Linked DNA regions of Tribolium castaneum. The protein of the gene in region 1 binds, or shares a complex with, the protein of each later gene. Links are inferred from orthologs where the notes say so. Each region holds a gene or a part of one and is shown on either strand. Other genes may lie near its edges.

Region 1 (3,438 bases):
GGGGGTGGTTTTACGACGAAAACAACCCTTGGAGATGGGTAAATTAGGAATATCCCAATTTGGGCCAGAAAATGAAAATTTGAATTTTTAATTTGTGGAGATTGGATTTTTCGGCGAAAATGTTTCTCTTGACAGTTGCCCCCACCCCTTAAATTTGGCGCTTCTTAATTAATGTTGTTGATGTGGTTTTGCTGGGCAGTGCTACCAACTTACTGTCAGTGTCGAATTTCCTGATGATTGTTTCAATAAGCGTGGTCCTGGGAGCGACAAGCCCTCTTCGCACCGGCATATCAACAACTACAATGCACACTCGATGATCATTTTTTCGTTAGGAAAAATTCATAGAAACACCAAAAATAAGGCATCCATAAGGCAAATTCAGCGGTTTAAATATAAAATCGCGGCTATTTGTAGCGCTTTAAAAATAAACGCCTTGCACGAAAAATCCGGCGATTTTCACCAAAAGACGACCAAATCTATACGAATTTCGGTAAAAATACACCCCCGAGGGTGCGCGCGCATTGCACTCGAGATTTTCGCGACATTGGCGCGCCTCGAAGCTCAGTGTCATTCAACTGAGCTTTCGCAGGTGGCAGGAATCGGCGCCAGCAGGAAAATCCCGCACTTGCGCACGATTTTGTTGATGTTCGAGGGGTAATAACACGAAATTGAACGATCAAATTTGCAACGGTAGGCAACACGGAATGCGGGCTAATTTTACATCACAGGCGGAAGTGTATTTTTAAATTTTATGGCCGAGGAGAGACAAGTTTTCGGACAAGTTATAGCCGACCAAATGTGCGCAAAATCGACCCACAAACACTACGAAAATGTCCAGAAAATTTCAGACAAATCGGGCCGTAATTAGCTGATGTATTGAGATGCCAAGAAAAGGGGAAAAATGCAAAATCTTGTAAAAAATTATTTTCAAACTCTAAAACTGTGGCAATTACGGGATCATTTTGTACACATTAAGGACTTCCTATGCCATCTATTTCCAGAGTAGTGTTTCACTTTCAATTTTTTTGGTCATAATAACTCAATAAATCCAACGTGTAAAGTTTAAAAAAGGCGAATTGGTTCAAGTTACTGCTACACCACTTTCTAGAAATTATTTTTGTTTTTCTTTAATAACTTTGAAACGGGGTAATCATTTTAAATGATTTGCTATCAGATATTCGACAAAATTTTATTTGTATCTTAGAAGTTTCAGCCAAATAGAGACAAAATTATCTGATATAATAATAATAATAATAATAATAATAATAATAATAATAATAATAATAATAATAATAATAATAATAATAATAATAATAATAATAATTAAACCCATCTTTGCGAAATAATTGTACAATAAAGTACAAAATACATGTTTTTAACTCGGATTTTTTTAATTAAAAATCGAATTTTGTTACTTGACGCAATATAAAAAACTATTTTACTAAATAATCTTCGAGGAAATGTTCGATTTCTGATCACCAAAGTACGTATTACAATTTTTTGTGTTGAAAAAGCGACAAAATGGCCGACAAATAAAGTCAAAATACAATTATTCTTTTAATAAAATTCTTTTTATAAATTATTTTTGATCTATTTTTTTACGTAATAAAAATAATCTATGAGCTTATTTAACGTAATTATTTTATACTTTAAACTTAATAAAAAAATTGGCTTATAGAGACGAGTGCCACCTTCCGGTGTCAATTGGTACCTAGCAAATTCCAAAACAATGTTCCTAGAAATAAAGTAGCAAAGTAGTTCTTATATTACGATCCAAATCATATTTATTTACATACAAATCCCTTAGTATGTATTTCTTAATAATATCAATCCCAAATAACTGTTTCTGAATCTAATTTTTCAAAAAATGTTTTCTGTAATTCTATAGATGTTCTGTAGTAATGGTTTGTATCGCGGCTAAATTCCCACCCGGTCAAATTTAAGGTTATATTCGTAAATTATCTAGAAAACATCCCCCAAAGCCCACTTTTTCCAGTCACATGCGCCCCCAACCCTAAAAAATCACCCCCGTGACAAAGTTTTATAAAGTGAGTCATGTCCCAATCCGACACAAAACGGGCCCTCACCCCCGAAGAATGGTCCTTCCTCACGCACTATTTCGTGGGCAACGACCACCGCTACCGCGAAAACATCATAATCCCCCGCACCCTAGGCCCCGTCCAAATCAAAAGCAATGAAGAAAAACGCGTGGAAGCCTTCTTCGAAAGTTGCCCCTTCAAATCGCTCATGAGCTGCGTCATGGGCTACGGTCTGGGGGCTGCCATCGGTCTGTTCTCAAGTAGCGTGGGGCCCACGGCCACCAACGTGGAGCAACAAACGGCGAGACAAGTCTTCCAAGAAATGAAAAGCACAACGCTGAGTTATGCTAAGAATTTTGCCATGATTGGGGCCCTGTTTTCGGCAGTGGAGTGCAGCATTGAGACGGTGATTTAGAAAAATTGTTGATTTTATGGGGTTATTGGGGTTGTTGTTGCAGATGAGGGGGAAATCCGATTGGAAGAACGGGACGTACGCGGGGGCTGTCACAGGGGGGCTCATTGGGCTAAGGGCTGGGGTTAAGGCGGGCGTTCTGGGGGCGGCGGGATTTGCGGCGTTCTCGACCGCCATTGACTATTACATGCATTCAAGGTTTTAAATTAGTTAGGTAAATTAGTTTTGTAAATATTTAAAATTGTAAAATAAATAAATAATAAAATGACACGAAGTATAAATCTATAACCCAACTCCATTTCCCGAACCATTAATTTTCCTAAAGAGATTGAAAAAATATTATATACACTTTGAGACACTCGCTACGCTCGTGGCATAATTCAAGTAAAAGTTTCAAAATAGTGGTACCTTTGGAAAAAAATATATGAGGCTCTCTGATTTAAAAAGCCGATTTTTTGTTTAGTAATTTAATAGATAATGAGTGCACATAATGCATATTAGAAAGCCCTCCTTGTGTAACAAATTAAATCCATACAGCAGCAGATCGCCGTTTCGCCGAAATTCCGTTTATATAAGTCCAAGTTTACTTTCACCAGAGTTCAAACGCCAATTGTTACGTTTAAAATTGCATAATCTTTGACATTACTAATAATTTTGTAACAAGCCGGCCATAAACAAATATCAACACACGTTTTTATTTCCTAATGACTTGTCCTTGAACGTTGCAGTTTCAAGCGAACAAAACAATAAAACTTACTATTTGCTTGACCAATATTTATTTACACGAAAAAAAATTAAACCTTCTTAGAAATAATAAAATATAATTAATTAAAAATATTTACTATTATTTCGCCCATTGGCGATTATTTCACCAAAAAATGGGTAGGATCGTAAAATCAATTTCCAAATTGGCGTGAAATTTTCACGTTGATATTGGTATTATTTCGTCCGAATAGTCGGAAATACCACTGCACTTTCTGTTTTCGG
Region 2 (4,848 bases), on another chromosome or scaffold:
GATATGAAGGTAGGTGTATTTTATTGCTGTGTCGTATTTATTTATTTCACAAACCAATAATTTCATAAAACTTAATTGCAATTAAAATCTTTAAATGCGGAATTGAAAAGTGATATTTTGAGTGACACATTTTAAATACAGTAACTATAAATAAAATAAACCACTCAAATAATTTATTGCCACGAAATTTTGCCTTTAATTTCAATGAATGAAAGTGGCTTGCTCAAAATTTAATGCAAATAAACATTTTTTTTGGTTTCATTTTTATTATTATTTTTTTTTGGTTTCATTTTTATTATTATTTTTTTTAATGCTACAAACGGTAGCCAACGTGGAAGCGATATGAAGGTAGGTGTATTTTATTGCTGTGTCGTATTTATTTATTTCACAAACCAATAATTTCATAAAACTTAATTGCAATTAAAATCTTTAAATGCGGTATTGAAAAGTGATGTTTTGAGTGACACATTTTAAATACAGTAACTATAAATAAAATAAACCACTCAAATAATTTATTGCCACGAAATTTTGCCTTTAATTTCAATGAATGAAAGTGGCTTGCTCAAAATTTAATGCAAATAAACATTTTATTTTGGTTTCATTTTTATTATTATTTTTTTTAATGCTACAAACAGTAGCCAACGCAGAAGCCATATGAAGGTAGGTGCATTTTTTTGCGTTTTATCTTGTGATGTGTTGATTTAATAGCTTGTGTGCCATATATTATACCGTATTGTGTATTCTTTATTCTGTATAATATTTATTAAAGTCGCTTGTTGTAACTTTCCTACAAATTAATTTTTTTGTTGGTTGTGTTTTTAATTTATTTTTTAGGTTTTGCTACAAATGGTAGCAGATGCAGTATAAAGGTAAGAGCATTTATTTAACGCCAAGTGAAAAAGCTTTGATTTTTGTGTACTATTTTTTCATTTCACAAACCAATAATTCCTTTATTCCCTTCATTTGAAGTAATCATTGTTTACCTCATCCTTATATCCATTTTTCCTGGCAAGAATGCTCTAAACCTCCACGTGGTTCTTGCCGGACAAATTAGTTATTGACTAATTTGACCAATTAGAGCAATCCTTAAATATAACATTGTTGACTGTTTTTTACAGCCGTAAAATTATGTCGCTTGTTGTAATTTTCATGCAAATAAAGATTTTTTATTGGTGTTGTTTTTAATTTTTTTTAATGCTACAAACGGTAGCCAACGTGGAAGCGATATGAAGGTAGGTGAAGGTGTCGTATTTATTTATTTCACTAACTAATAATTTCATAAAACTCAAATTTGTGAAATTTGTGACGTTTGTGAAATTTTTACTTGTCAGCCGCGCATCGGCACCACGTTTTTCTTCAATAATCTGAAATTTTAAATCCGCCAATAGGATTTTTTTTTCCCGTAAAACACTAAGGCCATCTATCCGCATCATCAGTAAAACCTAATTCAGTGAGCACAGCTTCCTTGATTAGTGAAGGGAGGTACCCTTTACACGGCTGGTCGCATTGAACAAAAAAAGTGTTTTTTGAGAGCTTACTTTATTGTAGCGCCATCTATTAGTTGCTGCTGAAAAATTCACTTGGTTTCAAACGTGACAGCCGTCATATTTTTTACAAATTTAAGTTTTCAACCTCTTTTGCACAAGATTTATACAAAATTTTGCTAACAGGAAGGCAAGACAAAGCTTAGTTTAATTTTTTTCCACAAGTTTTAATCTAAATTTGAAATGCAAAGCATTTGGACACTAATTACATTTTGTACAGTTGGTTGCAAATGCGTTCCAACACTCTTTTGATCATTTTCGTGAGCATAAAAATGTTTGTTTACCATTCGGCAAAATGTTCAAGTTTGTATGATGCTTTTTACGTTCGTTTTGTGTTTCGCAGTTCGCTCTTGGCATATGCTCTTGGTCGCTCACATGGCAACATGCGCTTTTGGTTCCTCATAGTAAAAACACGTGCCAAATGTTTGTAGAATACGTTTTCTACAACTATATAGCTAAAACTAATGCGTTTTGCCTTAGAAATCTTCTGCACTGACAGCAGTGTGACAACACTTAACCTTAGAACTGTCAGAATTGTTTTACTTTATAGTGGCTCCCTCTCAGAAACAAAAATATGCCAAGGAACTAAGCAATGCGGCCAGCCGTGTGAAGGGAAAGTCCCTTCATTAATCAAGGAAGCTGTGTCAGTGAGAGCTCGATTTGGCTATATCAGTTCGGGATGCCTGTGCAGTTTTCTCTTTTATCCACCTCTTGTCAAGTGACAATCACTGATTTGCATAACCTCACAAATTTACCTCGTGAAAACCATGGGGGTGAAAGTGGGATACGCGCATTGGCAACACGAGAGTATAGGCGAGGGGGGTTTTGCACTCCCGGGGAGATGAAAAGGGACGACCAATGACGACTGCTTATTTTAAAACAAGCGCGTATTTATTAGGGATTTCATTAAATTATATTTTTTGACGTAACAATGACATCTACGCTTGCGCGCAGATCGCACCGAAAATATCGCGCCAAAAGTGTTGTTTTGTCACTCATCGTTCAACGTGTTACCGGAAGTATGTAGCAATTATTTGTTTAATCGTTTAATCAAAGCAAAAATTCTGATTACAGTTCGTTAGTGAGTCAATTCCTGGTGTTGAGCGCCGACCAAAAAGATAAGTATCTCTTATTTTATTAATATAACCTCATCTTTTTGATTGGTGTTTCTTTCTATTTTAAAGGCATTGGTCTGGAGTGACGGATTTTTGATTTCTACTACTCAACTGAACTTTAGTCATGGCTGGTTATCGCAAATATTCCTGCAAATACCCCGGATGCACCAGTGATTATGTTCCCAACAAAGGACAGTCCAATAAGCATTTCTTCACCTTCCCTAAGAATCCAAAGCTTCAAGAATTGTGGAGGAATGCCTGCAAAATTGAGGATCCTGTAAGTTCAAAATTTTGGCGTTTTCGCTATTTAGGGTATTTCAGAATTTACTTTTAAGTTTCTTATTTGCGCTCGAGTGTGTCAGTGCACTGCATGTACCTCCTCGTGGTCGTAGCGTGGGCAACTGTTTGCTGACAGACAAGGTAAAAGTCATTGCAAAGCAGACCTTATTTTGTTTTAAGTCTCGAGCAGACAGGCAAAACATGCCAACACTGACTGATTTAATTTTTTTATAATTTTTGTATAATTAAGAAATAATACAATACTTTAATTTTTTGAAAAATTTAATTTGTTATGTTACTCAAGTGTACAATAAAAATGTTAACAAAATCTGTGTTTTATTACCCCAAAACAACTTTTTTTGTAAGTTTCATTTCAAATTTTGTTTAAAATAAATATAAAACGTTTTCATTTTGTTTAAAATGAAAATATATTTTTTTATTTTAAACAATTTGCAATGAAACTTGTAAGATAAAAATAATAAAAAACAATATAAAAGGAATTTATTCAAACGTGGCACTTTACCGTGGTAGTAACGCACTTCAGCACCAGAGGCGCTGGATTCTCGTGTTGCCAGTGATTTACTAGGGAATTATCACTTCTTAACCCTTTCTGTTCTGTGGTGAAAACCACAACAAAACTTAAATTAAAATGAATGTAACACTTCCCCCCGGTGCCGGGCTCGAAAATGTCGATGCAGAGCAAGTTAAAACGGTAATTTCAAAAAAACAACAATTTCAATTCTCAAATTTTTATTTGCAGTTCAAAGATTTCCTCATCTCTTACAATAAACTAGCCGAATTGTGTTTCACGGACTGTGTTTCGGATTTCACATCTCGGAATATCAAAGGGAGTGAAGTAAGTAACGACTGTCGGTTTCTGATCATTTTATTTTGCTATTACAGGATCGCTGTGCGTTAAATTGCCTCGAAAAATTTCTCAAAGTAAATCAACGCATTTCTCAACGATTCCAGGAGTTCCAAATGCTTGCGAATGAGAATGCAATCGCGGCGGCGCAAAAACTCGGCCAAAATCCGACCTGAACGATAATTTATTTGTGTTTGTTATTGTTAGTTTGTTACAAAATATAGCCTCATCTTTGACAACAGTGTGTTTGATTGTTTTGACAAAACTGAGTATCCTCATTTGCTAAATGGACCACGTCATTGTCTACGGCAGCGGGAAATTGCAAATTTTCGTGATTTTCCACTGCTGCATTTATCAGAGTCAACATTGCCTCATCTGCAATAAAAGATTACTTACCACGCTTGAATAACGCTTATTTTTACCTATGTGGACATTATCCTTCGCTGAAGTGATAAACCACGCTAATATGTTGTATTTCTCGCAGAAATGCACTATTTCTTGAGGCAGGGTTGCAATCGTAATATCACCCTTATTTGCTAGAATCACAACAGGTACGGGAACACCTCCCGGTAAGTGCACTTTTTTGCGCAGATCGAGCAACCACTAGACAAAAAACATGAGGAGAGAATTACAATTTAGGGGTTTTGGTACCTTTTCTACCGATTTAAAAGTCTCAGGTCTCGTCAGATCAAAAACAATAGCGGCGGCAACTCTAAAATTAAACACCTCACGCATGATTCATTGCTTATCTCTAAAGACCGGACTTTAGGCGCATTAATTAATAGAAATACAAAAAAATATTTTTCCCAGTGCTTTAATACCCTCACTGGTGAAGCCACAAAAAGTTTTTTGTTGTTTAGAATAACACAAATCATTCAAACAACGTCAGAGTTTCAGAAGTTTTTTTTGCCTAAAGTACGCCTTATCAAATGTCCTTCAATTTATGTAATTAAAACACTTCCTTACGCATATCTGTAGTAAACACCTGTGAGGTAACCAAATCGTTCGTGCCCCGCAATGTCCCATAATTGCACATTAACTTGAG
Region 3 (3,021 bases), on another chromosome or scaffold:
CGAGTTGCATACCCTAGACACCTTAGAACTTTAAGCGTTTTTGCATAAGTGTAAAATATAATTTTTATCTCAAAAAAAGTGCTCAAAAACTCAGTCCTTTTCGATTTAAAAATACCATTTCAGAACAGTTTTTATTTTTTTTTAATAGTCGCCTGTTAGTTTTGGTTTTCGGTATTTCTATACTTTTAGATGTTTTTTGTAGCATTTTGAAAGTTGTGGCAAACTTGCGTACGCCAGCGTTGCAACTAAAAAAGACAAAAACGACCCAAGTAAACGTCTATCCATGGGATATGGCTTTGTTAGGTTTATACATAAAAGCAGCGCTGATAAGGCTCTCAAAACCCTTCAGCAGAGCACTCTAGACGGCAAATCCCTAGAATTGAAGAGATCTGAACGGACGTTGAAGTTTGTTCTTGTCCAATTTATTTCCGCTTAATCTTATTTTACTAAATTTTAGCAACGAGGTCAAAGTTGTTAAAAAAAGCACCAAAGCAACGAAACAAACAGGAACCAAGATTTTGGTTCGAAATATCCCATTCCAGGCTAACCAGAAGGAAATTAGGGAACTTTTTAGGCATTTTATTAAAATTTAATTGTACTACTAACATGACTTAATTAATTGTTTTAGTGTTTTTGGCGAAATTAAAGCGTTAAGGCTCCCAAAGAAAATGGCCTTGGATGGGGGCTCACATCGAGGTTTTGCGTTTGTCGATTTTGTGGCAGCCTCTGATGCCAAGGTGAATTAATTATTAATTGTAACTTGTTAGCATAATTATTTTTTTAGAATGCATTTGAGGCTTTGTGTCAAAGTACCCACTTGTACGGTCGGAGACTAGTTCTCGAGTGGGCCTCAAGTGAGGACAGTGTGGACGATATCAGGAAGCGAACAGCGGCTCACTTCCAAACCACTGAAGCAGTCAAGTCGAAGAAAAGTGTTTTAAGCATTGATTAATTAAAAATAAAAACTACACTTTGTCTAGTCAAGTTTATTACCTCTAGAATAAACCAACATTACAAAATTAAATTACAAACAAAAACAAAACATAACTAAGTCCAACTACGGGGCGCTCCAATTATTTCTTAAGAAGTTGCTCGTCTTGCATTGAAAGTTGGCCAAGTTTCTTGCCAATGCGTTCATGGATGTCTAGAAATTTGGCCACACATCTATCAATGCAAACGGCTTCGCCTTTGGCAATTTCCGCGTCGTTGTAAACGGGAGGAATGCACTTTTTGTGGCATGCTGTAGTTAGACGGTTGTACATGTCTGCCATCATTTCGATTTCCAATTCTTGCATCAACTGCAACTTTTGAGCGTCACTCTCTGCCATTTCAATTCCGTGCAAATGTGACGCGTTATTAACGATAATTAAGTTCGAGGAGTGTGACGAGGACCCAATTCGTAATCACCAACGTTCGAGAGTCGCATGCGTTCCCTTATTTTCATATTATCATAACGCCTTTTCTCAACACTGGATTTGGACAAGTAGAACAAGTAAATACCAAACGTTGTACATATGGTCCTGCGAACCGACAAATTATTGCAATAAAACGATTTTTCGGTGCGAAAGTGAGGTTATGGTCAGTCGTTGCCTACTTTTGGAACTTACCATCCAATTCCTATTTTTGCATGTGTCCCTAAGCGCATACTTCCACCAATGCCTTAACTCATTATTTAACAAACTAGGAGTTGTTAAAAATATCAAAAATCGTGAATTTTTAAAATTGTGGTTATGCTCACATGGACTTTTGCGGTTACGTTGCGTGTACGTTCGTTGCGTTATGGAAGCACAAAAAGTCTAGTTTACACGTGATTTCCATTTATTTAAGGGATGGTTTACAACAAATCTAATAGAAATCACAGTAGAGATCTATTTTAGTTTGCCCTAACCCTTGGTCAGTTGAAATTTGATTTTTGCATTTAGCAGCAATTTGCTCGAAAACTATTAGTCGGAGAACAATAATATTTTTTGAAAAAAATAGATAATTTAAAGAGCTTTCCAACAATAATACACATCATGGGGTTATCTCTAATAGTTCCGGAGCTATTGCTCGACAAATGTTCCGGGTACCCAAAATCGACAAAAACTGCGACGAAAATTGAAAAAATCAAACATCAAAAAATCGAACATTTGGACTTTTTGTGGACTTTTAACAACTTTAGTGGGTTGTTAAGACATGTAGAAGTCCATAAAAATTTGCTGAAGTTAGTTTAAAAAAATTTTTTTTTTCAACTTTTTGAAGGTACTGTATTTTACTCAGGAAATTTGGGCAAAAAAATTAAAATTTTAAATCTCGTGAAAAGTTGGTATAATACAGAAAATAAACCGCTGAATTCAATGGAACAAACCGCATTGCTCTACGACTTTTAGTTTTTGAGTTATGAATTTTTTTAATGAATAAAATTTTTCAGTATGACAAATGGCTACCCTAAATTTAGGCAAAAAATTTTAAATTTTTAATTCTTGTGAAAAATCGATATAATATGTAAAATGAGCCGTAGAATTCAGTGGAACAAACCGGAATTCTCTACGACTTTTAGTTTTTTTTTTATGAATTTTTTTAGTGAAAAACTTTGATCGCCTCTGTAGCCGGAACCGTTGCCCGGAGCGGCTCCGGGTTTGGTCGAAAAAATAGATAAAATTAAGCGCTATCAGATGGTTTTTTGTTCGTTGCTCTAAGTCTTACAGTTTCCGAGAAAAACGCCAAAAAAAGTTTCCATTTTCAATTTTTTCCAATTTTCAACTGCCAATTACGGCGAAACTATTAAAGATATCGAGAAACGGAAAAATGGAGAACAACCGGAATAAAAAACTCTACAAAATGGCATAGGACTCAAGGCGATATCTCGCAAAAAATTTTTCAATTTTCAAACGCCGATTACGGCCAAACTAAAAGAGCTAGAAGAAAACGGTTTGTTACATCGTAAAGAGCACATCAAAATCTATAAGATAAAATTGGTTTTATTTGATTTTAAAACACTTTAAAAATTGACCGATTTTAAGGGGGGGGTGTTAACTTTAT
Region 4 (4,048 bases), on another chromosome or scaffold:
ATTATAGTGATGTGATTTTTTTACAACACACGTGGACAAACAACAGACTTGGGGCGCATTGAAGCTCTGTTGTGTTTTGACTTGAAGAAAGAAACTTGAAATTTTTACTAGGAATTAAGTTAAAAATGAGGATAAAGTAATTTATGCCTAGTATTTAAATATTAATGATTAATTCTAGCGAGTAACCACATATGTATACATGTTTCCTATGATTTACCGTTAACTGTATGCAAGTTGGCTCTGGTTGTTTAACACCAGATCATTTGTTTTGTTTTTTAGTTTATTTTTTTGTCAATCAAGTGTAACTAGATTTAGTACAGCAGTATTGAACCAAGTGATTCCGTTTGGTTGTAAACATACCTCAAGAAGAAAGAAAAAAAAAGTAATTTCCAAGCCAGGGCCATACCAATCCACTACCGCAAGTACAGTGGTAAATGTGTTCAAAATATAATACCAGTTTGTACATGAAGCTTGAGAGTTGTTTGTTCAGTACGATTTTATATAATTTGGCAAACGGTTGACTAAAGATAACGCACTGAAAAACAACTCGAGAGTTGTTTTGTAAATACTTAACTTAATGAATAATCACTAGAACTGTATTTATCGATACACTTATTTATTTACGTCATGTGCAGTTACAATTAATCATTCACGATTTAGTTGACGGAAAAAATGCAATGATTCTCAGCAATGTAGAAAATATGATGATAGTGTAAAATTATGCGATCTATGAATTCCTAATTTCTTTGTTATTTAAATAAATTTACATCAAAACGGCGGCTTTCAACCTTATTTTTAACGATTTGTAAATGTTAAAAGAAAACCAATTTGGGCAGTTTAATTATTTTATTTACAAATTTTCTTTTTTACAAAACACATTAATTAATTTCGGTAATAGCGTAACTCTGACCGGTTTCAGCTCATAATTTTCATTATCAATGGAAAACCATTTCTCCTCATTTTGATTGATTTTCGGTTGAATTTCCACAGATCTCGCCTCAATTATTTCCCTCACTTTTCTTTTTTCTCCTTTTTCCGACTTCCATCCTTCTTTAACAAAATCGAAATAATTGACACTTTTCGGACCAACATTGACCACCAATTTCGGGACTTGTTCACTTTCAACTTCTAGATTAAAATCAACCGTTGAAATATACTTTTGATAAATCATCTGACATTCCGGATTAATAATATTCGAAAAACCCGGCTTTTGGTCTTTGGCAAATCTAAATAATTGTACAAAAAGTAAGTACCACTTACCAAAGTGGGGTCTAATCAGATTATAATGTAATTAAAGTAATAACAATATAATCTGATTACTTTGTATTCAATTACTTTTTTTATTATTTGTAATAAGTTACAAATGCCACTTACCTCTGGAACCACTTTTTTTGTTGTTGTGACTGTTTCGCACAATTTGAACAACCTGAACAAGGTGGTGTGTAATTAAGTTCAGCTGAACAATTCCAAGACAAGTTATTTCTTAATCCGTTAAATAAGTAAGTCACATAATTACGAAATTTGCCATAAAGCCAGTAACTGTCTCTTTTAGTTTCCGCGTCTCTGTAAGCCCCCCATTTGATCCCAGAAACTGCATAAATCGGTTTGTTTTCATTTTCCAACACCTCAACTTTTAACACATTAATAGGTTTCACAACCTCTTCAACAACTGCCATTGTGGCATCAGCCAACGAGCGAACCTTCTCCAAATGACTCCCACAAGGAAACAAAATTTTAGCAACAGAATTTGTTTTACCCAAAGGCAAGACACCTTCAAACCTTTATTATTTTCACCAAAAACCCACTAACACAAACCTATTGGAATCAAACCGTTGGTGTTTTCCTGCGTACGCCTCAAAAGCCCCGTTATCACCTCAGAGACAGTCCCATCGCCCCCAGCCACAACCACAGCATCAGTCCCGTTTAAATCATTGATAAGAGTCCTGGCGTGCCCCTCTGACTCTGTCCTAACAACATTGACACAAATTCCAGCCAAATGCAACAGGGGGGCGCAATATTTCTCAAATTCATCACCAGCTTTACGCTTATTGGCATTGGGGTTGAGAATTACCGTAACGTTACGGGGGTCAGCCTCCACACGAATTGGTTCAAGACCAAATCTTGCCGCCTTTTCGCAATAAACACGCATCAATTCTTGGGTCCTAACATAAAATTTGAGGGGGCTAATGTGAGGTTATGTCACTCACTCGAAACGTTCCTTGGCGTATTCAAAGCCGTACAGTAGGGCCACGGCTGCAAACGTTGACTTCTTCCAATGATTGCGTAAAGTTTTTGCCGTTTTTAGTACAAAAGTCATGTTTTGTTTAAATTTATTAGCATAACCTCAAATTTGACTAATGGAATGGTTCAAGGACAAGACGGCGCGTAATTTGAAAATTGCCGTAAATTAGAGAATTTGCAATTTCCTGGATTGTTAGGCGTCGTAATTGGTAAATTATTTAGTTTGTGTGAAAAATGCGGTTGATAACTGTGGTCTTGTTCCTTGTTTTAGCCCAAATCGAAGCCAAAACGTATTATTTTAATTTGAATAAAACTACAAATGAGTTCATGGTTCGGAATCGTGTCAATTTTAATCAAACGAATTATCCCGCAATTCAAATAAGTGAACTCAGGAATAATAGGAACGTCACACGTAAAACTGCCACAAATACGAATGTAATAATAATGTTGTAGTACTAGTAAATTAGAAAAAAAATTGTTTTAGGGCACTAAACCCTACATTCACCCACTTTTAGACTCCGAATGGAACTACAATTGGACCAACATCACCCGAAATAAACTACCATCATACATTTACAAATATTACGAAGCATATTCGCAAAATGTGGCAGCTCCTGTTCACATTCTCTTCAACGCAAATCCGCTAAATTCAACCATAATCAAATTTAATTCGAGTAAATTGGACGTTGCGGAGGTTGAGTTACATTTCTACCACAAAGTTGAGGCCAATTTGACACAAAAATCGCTAATTTTGCGCCTTTATCAAGTCGAAAATGATATCAATGAAACGGCTTTGATAAATCCAGATTCACACAAACTGCTCAATGTGATTTACATTTATCAAGCTGAAAGTGGCTGGCAGGTAACAATTATATTGAATTTTCATTCAACACTTAAATCATCGCCAGGTGTTTAAATTAACCAAATCGTTGCATAATTGGATAAAAAAAACAACGGATTTGTCGATATTTATCACAATTTCGAAACCAAACGACGAACAATTTAATCTTTTTAACGACAGTAATAGAAACGCGTTTAGGACTTTTCTTATATTAAAATCAGAATCGCCGAGAAGTGATGGTAAGTTATTTTTTCTAAGTTACATAATTTAGGCACAAAACACTTGGCTCCATATTTTCGCCCAACCCTGTATGTTTATTGTATTGTAGGAACAAATGATGAAATTACCGAAAGTAACGCTTGCAGAAGACATGATTTATACGTCGACTTCCAAAAACTCAACTGGATGAAATTTATTATATCACCAGCTGGTTATAACGCCTACAATTGCCACGGCACGTGTTATCAAACCCACCACTTACCAAACCATCACAAAACCACAAATTTCTTTCCTGAACTGGGGCGTAAAAGTCCCTGTTGTGGCCCCACAAAATACGCTCCTCTCCCTATAATGTTTTACGATAGATTTGGCAATGTTATGATCAAGTTTTACGACGAAATGGTAATTTCGGCATGTGGTTGCAGATAAACAGATTTAACGCAAACGATGACTTTATTAAACAATTATACAATGTGTTTGAAATTAAAAAATACTGTAACAAAAAAATCAATCATGCAATGTGTTTTACTCAGCGTTTCCGTTGCTTTGTCCTTTTTTCCTCAGAGTTTTTTGTAAAACGTGAGCGTCTGCCGGTTCTATTCTTTTGTAGTAATGTTCTTTAGTTTCGACGATTTCGAAACCGAATTTTTTGTAGAAATCAATCGCTCCTTCGTTGTTTACTTGCACGTGGCTAAAAGAACGTGTTATTGGGTTTAATATAAAAAAAAACTCTTACAGGAATATGCT

Evidence for each region.
Region 2: the proteins of mitochondrial import inner membrane translocase subunit Tim22 (region 1) and Tim9a are in contact, whole or in part, in a cryo-EM structure (PDB 7CGP), measured with the Homo sapiens proteins. The link is inferred for Tribolium castaneum from reciprocal best matches to the Homo sapiens genes TIMM22 and TIMM9. Residues at the interface, in NP_037469.2 of Homo sapiens: Asp35, Arg37, Gln38, Pro39, Arg40, Leu42, Gly45, Ser46, Leu47, Gly49, Ile50, Ser52, Pro53, Lys60; in NP_001291414.1 of Homo sapiens: Gln13, Glu16, Phe17, Thr20, Leu57, Thr60, Gln61, Met65, Phe67, His71, Gln74, Asn75, Leu78, Lys81.
Region 3: the proteins of mitochondrial import inner membrane translocase subunit Tim22 (region 1) and Tim10 are in contact, whole or in part, in a cryo-EM structure (PDB 7CGP), measured with the Homo sapiens proteins. The link is inferred for Tribolium castaneum from reciprocal best matches to the Homo sapiens genes TIMM22 and TIMM10. Residues at the interface, in NP_037469.2 of Homo sapiens: Tyr25, Ser26, Leu28, Leu29, Gln30, Tyr31, Leu32, Val33, Arg40, Leu42, Leu47, Gly48, Glu67, Glu144, Ser145, Tyr146, Gly148, Ser150; in NP_036588.1 of Homo sapiens: Pro3, Ala6, Gln7, Leu9, Ala10, Ala11, Leu13, Glu14, Val15, Met17, Met18, Ala19, Tyr22, Ser44, Lys45, Gly46, Glu47, Arg53, His62, Glu63, Gly66, Leu69, Thr70, Ser73, Met74.
Region 4: mitochondrial import inner membrane translocase subunit Tim22 (region 1) and Mulk share a complex: the UniProt entries of both Homo sapiens proteins name them as parts of the TIM22 complex. The link is inferred for Tribolium castaneum from reciprocal best matches to the Homo sapiens genes TIMM22 and AGK.

Annotation. Positions count from the first base shown.
Region 1 is NC_087401.1:15,998,999-16,002,436, forward strand, and holds mitochondrial import inner membrane translocase subunit Tim22, read left to right. Parts: upstream 1-1,816; 5' UTR 1,817-1,944; exon of another isoform or gene 1,945-1,996; 5' UTR 1,997-2,055; coding exon 2,056-2,445; intron 2,446-2,497; coding exon 2,498-2,656; 3' UTR 2,657-2,721; downstream 2,722-3,438. Other genes in the region: potassium voltage-gated channel subfamily H member 6, read right to left, coding at 214-289. UniProt on the Homo sapiens protein: Essential core component of the TIM22 complex, a complex that mediates the import and insertion of multi-pass transmembrane proteins into the mitochondrial inner membrane. In the TIM22 complex, it constitutes the voltage-activated and signal-gated channel.
Region 2 is NC_087402.1:6,646,431-6,651,278, forward strand, and holds Tim9a (mitochondrial import inner membrane translocase subunit Tim9), read left to right. Parts: upstream 1-1,507; 5' UTR 1,508-2,302; intron 2,303-2,574; exon of another isoform or gene 2,575-2,934; intron 2,935-2,987; exon of another isoform or gene 2,988-3,455; intron 3,456-3,558; 5' UTR 3,559-3,587; coding exon 3,588-3,650; intron 3,651-3,698; coding exon 3,699-3,794; intron 3,795-3,810; exon of another isoform or gene 3,811-3,841; coding exon 3,842-3,979; 3' UTR 3,980-4,029; downstream 4,030-4,848. Other genes in the region: ras-related protein Rab-32, read right to left, coding at 4,030-4,178, 4,226-4,406, 4,455-4,515, 4,770-4,848. UniProt on the Homo sapiens protein: Mitochondrial intermembrane chaperone that participates in the import and insertion of multi-pass transmembrane proteins into the mitochondrial inner membrane.
Region 3 is NC_087394.1:33,996,748-33,999,768, forward strand, and holds Tim10 (mitochondrial import inner membrane translocase subunit Tim10), read right to left. Parts: upstream 1,469-3,021; 5' UTR 1,329-1,468; coding exon 1,074-1,328; 3' UTR 972-1,073; downstream 1-971. Other genes in the region: probable RNA-binding protein 19, read left to right, coding at 203-405, 458-574, 629-737, 785-952.
Region 4 is NC_087402.1:192,676-196,723, forward strand, and holds Mulk (acylglycerol kinase, mitochondrial), read right to left. Parts: upstream 2,345-4,048; 5' UTR 2,318-2,344; coding exon 2,208-2,317; intron 2,189-2,207; coding exon of another isoform or gene 2,163-2,188; coding exon 1,816-2,162; intron 1,772-1,815; coding exon 1,375-1,771; intron 1,227-1,374; coding exon 851-1,226; 3' UTR 828-850; downstream 1-827. Other genes in the region: E3 ubiquitin-protein ligase TRIM33, read left to right, coding at 1,993-2,188; derriere protein, read left to right, coding at 2,476-2,676, 2,726-3,103, 3,150-3,321, 3,411-3,730; probable N-acetyltransferase san, read right to left, coding at 3,827-3,992, 4,038-4,048. UniProt on the Homo sapiens protein: Lipid kinase that can phosphorylate both monoacylglycerol and diacylglycerol to form lysophosphatidic acid (LPA) and phosphatidic acid (PA), respectively. Does not phosphorylate sphingosine. Phosphorylates ceramide.